Linked DNA regions of Macaca fascicularis. The protein of the gene in region 2 interacts with the protein of the main gene of each other region in a pairwise test. Links are inferred from orthologs where the notes say so. Each region holds a gene or a part of one and is shown on either strand. Other genes may lie near its edges.

What was found.
Region 1: the proteins of XRCC4 (region 2) and APLF interact in binary tests that used the Homo sapiens proteins (3 or more experiments, as listed by UniProt). The link is inferred for Macaca fascicularis from reciprocal best matches to the Homo sapiens genes XRCC4 and APLF.

Annotation. Positions count from the first base shown.
Region 1 is NC_088387.1:53,371,963-53,375,022, forward strand, and holds the end of APLF (aprataxin and PNK-like factor), read right to left. Parts: intron 1,270-3,060; coding exon 1,067-1,269; 3' UTR 751-1,066; downstream 1-750. UniProt on the Homo sapiens protein: Histone chaperone involved in single-strand and double-strand DNA break repair.
Region 2 is NC_088380.1:86,997,758-87,002,112, reverse strand, and holds the start of XRCC4 (DNA repair protein XRCC4), read right to left. Parts: upstream 2,951-4,355; 5' UTR 2,882-2,950; intron 1-2,881. Other genes in the region: TMEM167A (protein kish-A), read left to right, coding at 3,174-3,176.

The DNA.
Region 1 (3,060 bases), on a different chromosome or scaffold from region 2:
GCCATTTGAGAAAGCTATGTCATTTCTCTATTCTTAATATAAAGACAGCACATTGAGAGTTAAAATAATCAGGTAGGACTTTAGTTTGAAAAAAAAGGTCAAATTCTTTGAGTTTTTTGACTTTTAAATTCAAACATACAGTAAATTGCAGATGTGGAACACAAAATAACATTCCCTGCATGGTGAACATTTCTCTTCTGCAGCCTAGTTGAACCTATTTTCAGTATCCATTTGGAACCAATCTTCCCAAGTTTCGAAGGACAAAAGTAGTAAGGGAAATTGCAAAGCTCACATCTAAGGTACTAGAAAAAAAAAGCCATTAAGTAATGGCTGCATTTTAAAAATCCTGTTCTCTTTGGGAGGCCGAGACGGGCGGATCACGAGGTCAGGAGATCGAGACCATCCTGGCTAACACAATGAAACCCCGTCTCTACTAAAAATACAAAAAAATTAGCCGGGCGAGGTGGCGGGCGCCTGTAGTCCCAGCTACTCGGGAGGCTGAGGCAGGAGAATGGCGTGAACCCGGGAGGCGGAGCTTGCAGTGAGCCGAGATAGCACCACTGCACTCCAGCCTGGGCGACAGAGCGAGACTCCGTCTCAAAAAAAAAAAAAAAAAAAAAAATCCTGTTCTGCTTACAGAATTACTTCAGTAACAATGAAAAGAGGCATGTTTTCATGTAATTTGCCTGGTTATACTTGCAGAGTACTCCATAAAGATAATCTTTGGAAAAAAACTTACAAAGACCAAAGTTTTGCGCAACCTATGGCTTTTACTTTTTATTACCAATATACAAAGTACATCAAAAATATCCATTTTTACTCTACCTTCTCCGTCTTCCTATTTCCAGAGGCTTTATGTAGGAAAGAAAAGGCAAGGCAACAAAAAATTCCATCTATTATACTGAAGGCTGACGTTTCAATGTCTCACTTGTAAAGAGTCAGTAGTAGAAGTCATTAACTATCAAAAGAAGGAAATAACTGTCACTTAAGTACCTCCTTAGTTCATAAATGTTTTCCCACAAAGAAAAAGTAAATGTAAGGCACACATGACTACAGAAGTTAGTTACTATTTTCTTTTCATAAACTGTTTTGCTTCTTTCAAAAGCTCTTCCACGTCTTCCTTCTCTTCATCTTCCTTTCCTGGTTCCCAGTCAGAATCTTCATCTGTTGGCTCATAGTCTTCTTCCTCATCATCTAGAAAGCTGTCGTTCAGGTCATACTCACTGGGTTGCCCAACATTATCATTATCTTCATCTAAAACATTTCTCACTGAAAAACAGAAGATTGGTACAACACATCAATCGCCACTCAACCTGGGATGACAGACATCTACCTATAAAATGTCTTTCTGCATCCAGAGAATTAATTTTATTAATGCATAGCTTACCACTACAGATTTCTGGAAAGGGCACTAAAATGATGCTTTGTTATTTATTATTCTAACTTTTCCTACCATGAGGTTCCTGAAACTAAAATGGCCCATGAGATTGGTAATAATGGTTCCTTAATCTCATAATCATATTCACAACATCCCATCTTCCCATGTGGTAGAATGTATTTTTGTCCCAGTTATTCACTGCCCCTTCCTGTGATATGATTATACTTCCTCACTTCTCAGTGATTGCCCAAAGAAATGTGAGTGGAAATAGTGTGTGTCACTTCCAAAAGGATGCTTTAAGACTCTTTCTCTGGTTCTGCTATTGCCATTTCCCCTCTGCCACAAGAAGCATGTCCCAGATAGAGGCTGATCCCTCAGTCTGGATTCCAGGATGAGAATACACATGGCACACGGCCACAGCCAATTCACAGCTGCAATAAGGAGAAATACACTGAAATAAGTGTATTTATTGTTATAAGGCACTGAAATTTAGAAATGTTTGTTATTACAGCAAACCTAGCAAAAGCTTATTGACACATCAGGGCGTTAGCTTAGATACTTTGGAAAGTTTAGTTTTATAGGTCTAAGATATTCTTACAGTTCATGTTTCAATAAGACTAGGATTGCCATCATAACAGACATTATAATTTACAGATTTCTAAGTAATATTATAATACTAGAATTATTCTGTCTCCAAATTCATTTCTTCCCTCATCCTACTCCTTCCACAGTGAGCTACAGAGTTGCTTTAAAATAAAGCAGTGAAAGACTCTAGGACAGTGTGGAACATTCAAGAAACAATTAAGAAGACTGTATCTAGAAATCTGAATGGCAGAGGACAGTCCCTGATGAACAGCAAATGTATAGGTTAAAAACATTAATGTATGTACTTTAGTATATACTTTGGTTAATATCTTTCTAAAATGTTCACATGCAACATATAGTTATAATTTTAAAAATAAAGTCAATGAATTGGGAAAAATGAGAAAAATGACAAAGGAAGTAACATATCTGTCCTTTTAACCTTTATAGCCCAATACATTTATATTTTTCTTTTTTCTTTTTCTTTTTTTTTTTTGAGACGGAGTCTCGCTCTGTAGCCCAGGCTGGAGTGCAGTGGCCGGATCTCAGCTCACTGCAAGCTCTGCCTCCCGGGTTTACGCCATTCTCCTGCCTCAGCCTCCCGAGTAGCTGGGACTACAGGCGCCCGCCACCTCGCCCGGCTAGTTTTTATATTTTTAGTAGAGACGGGGTTTCACTGTGTTAGCCAGGATGGTCTCAATCTCCTGACCTCGTGATCCGCCCATCTCGGCCTCCCAAAGTGCTGGGATTACAGGCTTGGGCCACCACGCCTGGCCACATTTATATTTTTCTTAGTATCAGTACTCATTCCAGAAAGGATTTGAGACAGTTTACAATAATAAAATGCTAATAAAGGTAGAAATCAAAAACATAAAAAGCAGAATACACATATGATAATCTCAATTTTTAACACAATTGTTAAAAATAGAGCATCAAATTTATCCCCAAGATTCTTGGTAGCCACGGCTAAAAAGGCAATATAATAACTTGCACAATTCTCATTATAGTAGGAAGCTCACCAGTTCCTTAAGGAAAATCTTGCATTACATTTATCTGTATACACAGCTCCTGTAAACATCTTGAGGGCATGTTTTATGTCT
Region 2 (4,355 bases):
ATTGAGATGGAGACTCGCTCTATTGCCCACGCAGGACTGCAGTGGCACAATCTCGGCTCACTGCAGCCTCCACACTCTGGGTTCAATTGATTATCCTGCCTCAGTCTCCTGAGTAGCTGGGACTACAGGTGTATGCCACCACACCTGGCTAAGTTTTGTATTTTAGTAGAGATTGGGTTTCACCATGTTGGCCAGGCTGGTCTCGAACTCCTGACCTCAAGTGATCCGCCCACCTTGGCCTCCCAAAGTGCTGGAATTACAAGCATGAGCCACCACACCCGGCTGGAATTTTCTACTTAATATTTTCAGGCTGTGGTTGATCATAGGTAACTGAAACTGTCAAAATCAAAACCTCAGATAAGGAGAGACTACTGTATTTAGTGCCTAATATATGCAATTCAACAGTTCCTCCATTATAATTCCTCCTCTCCAGAGACTTTTAATTTACCAAAGCCATGCACAACAATAGACAACACTTTCTGAGTGCTTACTGTATGCCAAACACTTGCCTAGATGATTTACTTGTAATAACTCGTTTAATCCTCATAACACTGAGGACACTTTTGCACTGGCTCCACAGAAAAATATAAATATCACTATTTTTACATATGATTTGAATATACCCAAGAAAACAAAGTTGCAAATATTCTTCCAGATGCAGGTGAGATAAAAATTTTTAAACAGGTCAGACGCGGTACGGTGGCTTACACCTGTAATCCCAGCACTTTGGGAGGCCAAGACGGGAGGATCACTTGAGCCCAGGAGTTAGAGACCAGCCTAGGTAACATAGTGAGCCCCATCTCTACAAAAAATGAAATAAATTAAGCCAAGTATGGTGGCATACACCCATGGTCCCGGCTACTGAGGATACTGAGGGAGGAGGATAGATCACTTCTGCCCAGGAGGTTGAGGCTGCGGTGAGCCATGATTGTGCCACTGCACTCCACCCTGGGCAACAGAGCAAGATCCTGTCTCAAAAATAAAATAAATAATAATTTTTGAACAAAGGAATAACACAGTCAGATTTTATTTCTAGTAAGGAAAGGATCCAAGATGGTTTTAAATGAGGATTCATTGCAAAGCTGCCAGAAAGACTTTTGAAATTGTGATATAATCTGAAAACCAAAAAGTAGCAGGTTTATGTAAGACGATGCAGCTAAACTACCACCTCCCAAAAAGACTCACGTCAGATTAACTTTGATGTTTTACATAAATGCAATAAACATTATACATATTTGTTCAGCCTCATTTATTGGCACATGTGTTTCTCTCCATGGATAACTTAAAAACTGGCAATGTCGTTCTTTACTATTTTGAAGCTCAGGTACATAAGAAGCCATGGCCTAAAGTTAATTAAAATATATAGACATAGCAAATCAATTGTGATCTCTACAAGTTAAGCTTTCTGATGCTCTTCACAGGTAGCCTGAAGCAGAGCTTCATACAGAAGTATTACTCTTAAGTGTAACAAAGATCAAGACAATCTTCACATGAAAGCAAGGGCAGTTATGTCTACAGACACATTTACTACCCTAAAAGCCAAGCTCGATAAGTTGCACAACATAATTTCCATAGCTAAACCAAGTTTGTTTAATTTGAATGGCAAGACCTAAAAGGTATAATATAAAGGAATTACAAGACAGAACATTAAAAGACTTTTTTCTTCCTCAGGTGGAGAGTACTGTATTTTTTTTATACCTTTCTTTTTCCCCTCTCCCACAACGTTATTAAATTCCTTAAAAGAACAGACCATCTTTGTTCCTATGCTGCAATCTCAAGATCTATGAATAAAGCAGGCACCCAGTAAATACTTGCTAATTTGTGTAATTGACCAACTCTTGACAATTCAATATAACAGACTCAACTATCAAGTTAGTTAGAGTTTAAAACAAAACCGTTGTGTGCCCTAGTGAACGATGTAAAACACAAACAGCAGAATCCCAAATCTTCTAATCATTTGTGTTGCCCTAAATACAAAACGGTCTCATAGGCCGAATACAGGTCGTAAACCAACATCTCACCTGAGTTACCTTCTCTCTATCCACCTTCTAAGTCAATAAATAAAAAATTGAAAACATTCTGAAAAGAACCCTCTGCTGCCTGAGAAAAAAATACACCACACATTTAGAGCCAAAAGGTTGCCTTAAGGGGGCAAAGAGTGAAAAATTCTCCTTTCTAATACTTTATCAGAATTCCAAGAACTACGCAAATTCAAACACGTCAAAGCTCCTGTTTCTCCATCGATAAAATGCAGAAAGAAAAACGTGCGTGCGTGTGTGTGTGTGTGTAACAGAACCTCACCTATTGGGATAATTAACATCAGAAAAAGCTAAATTCTACTACTGATTAAAAGTTGGCTTGTCATTTGTCTTGCCAGTTGATCTCTCTAAAGTACCTATCAATTGCAGTTCCTTCCCATTGGTTACCACAGAAAGTTCTTTCCTGACCCCAAATTGCCTAGTACGTTTCAGTCACGATGCCTGGATGGAACCCACAGTTGACCAATATCTGGGGATTGAAAGGACAGGCCGGTGTTGGGGAAATGCTCACTATCCTCTGGATTCAACTGTCCTCCCAATCCCACAACCAACACAGAGCATTTCAAAAGTGCTTCGCATTCCCAAGAATCCCCCAGATGCAAATAGAGAAACTGAAAAGAAGGTGAACAGGTAGGTTCGCACCCTGAGGATGATGCCGGGAACCCTAGCATCCCCAAAAGCCCACAAGAGGAAGGCGCGGGAGCTCACAAATTGAGGGGGATTCTCACACTGTGGAGTTCTAGGGGTAAATAGCAGGGAACTTTTTTAAAAAGAAAGCAAAAGATAAAAAGAGAAAATCATATTTTTGTTATTTAAAGAGGCAGCCCACTTCCGGACCCTACCTCTCCGTGAGTGTACTTCCGGTCTCCTCCGAAACGCCCGCTTTCACAGATCAAGTTCTTGCAACCAATGAGAGCATCAGCTACTTCCGCCGGTCTGCGGGGCGTGGTCTAAATCCCGCCTTTTCCGGTGGAGAGGAGCCTATCCTAGAGTCTTAATCGCCCGACTCAGTAGGCGGTGCCGTGACAAGCCCAACCGGACGGCTGGAGAGGGCGAAAAGGGCAGACGGGGCGTGCAGCCTCTTCCGCCTGGGGCCCGGAAGGGTGATGTGGCTGCGGTATCGCCGGCCTCGCTATGGTAAGAATTGGGGCTGCCGGGTCGAGGTTAATCTTCGAGAAGGGATTGTGGGTCTAGACTAGGGCTGGAGGTTGTGCGGCAGCCCGGGGTGTGTGGGCCTTGGAGCCATGTGGTCCCTCCACGGTCAACGAGAGAGAATCAGGACGGACTGTCCAAGAAAGACTCCTGGGTCGCGGAGCCCGCCCCTCATGCAAAGTCCGCTTTCCTACTTTGTTTAGGAAAAAAAAAATGCGTTGGTGTGTTTTAACACGTTGGCTACGTAGATTATCTGGGGTCATTGAAGCTTTGAAGCGTTAGAGCTTCTCGAGTTTCCGCTTGTTTTCTTGCATCTCCTTATTTCACCCTAGGGGCTTTACTCTGGTGTTATTGTTTGAATTTGTGGGGAGGTTCCTTTGGCACCAAACTCCATACCTTCGTTTGCAGCTGTTTAGTCAATAGCCTCTCAGGACCCTTCCACATTATTCTCTCAACTTTGAAAATGCTACTTTACAAGCTATAGGTTTTAATAGTTAAGAGTTCTCTGCAAAGGCGGATTGCTTTTCTAGGGGCTTAATATACTTATTGGAGTGGTGTCTAGCCTCAGGCCTTCCTCCTCTTTTACCTCCAAGTCCATTTGCCAAATGTGTATATTTCTGGGCAAAGGATGCATGCCTGCGAATAGACCCAAAAACAACTATGACTCCAAAAAGCTTGAGTCTCATGGTGAAAAATTATGAGCCCACGTTCACGGAAGTTGCTACAGAATCCCATATAGCAATAATTCAGTTTCTTCTCTGGACGAATTTACCACCTGATAGGAAGATGGCAGTTGAGACTAGCAAGACTGTCACTCTTAATTCTTTTACATCTTTCTAAAAACTGAAGTTGAATTATTTTACTCGTAGTGCAAGTCAAAGATAACTCTTTTTATTATCTCACTATCAGACTAGCTAAAAACAAGATGCATATACTGTGCTGAAGATCATCGGTATATAAACTATCTTGTCATGCTTGTTTTTCCAAAAGTAGCATATACTTTCATTCATTATCAAGTCCTATGTACCAGGCTCTTTTCAAAAAATCAGTTTATAAGCATGGAAATATCAAGTTCACCACAACTTCTAAGTAGATGTTTACAAGTGAAAGAAGTGAAACATGAGGAGATTGACTTGCCTTGGATCACACCTAGTAGATTGTAAA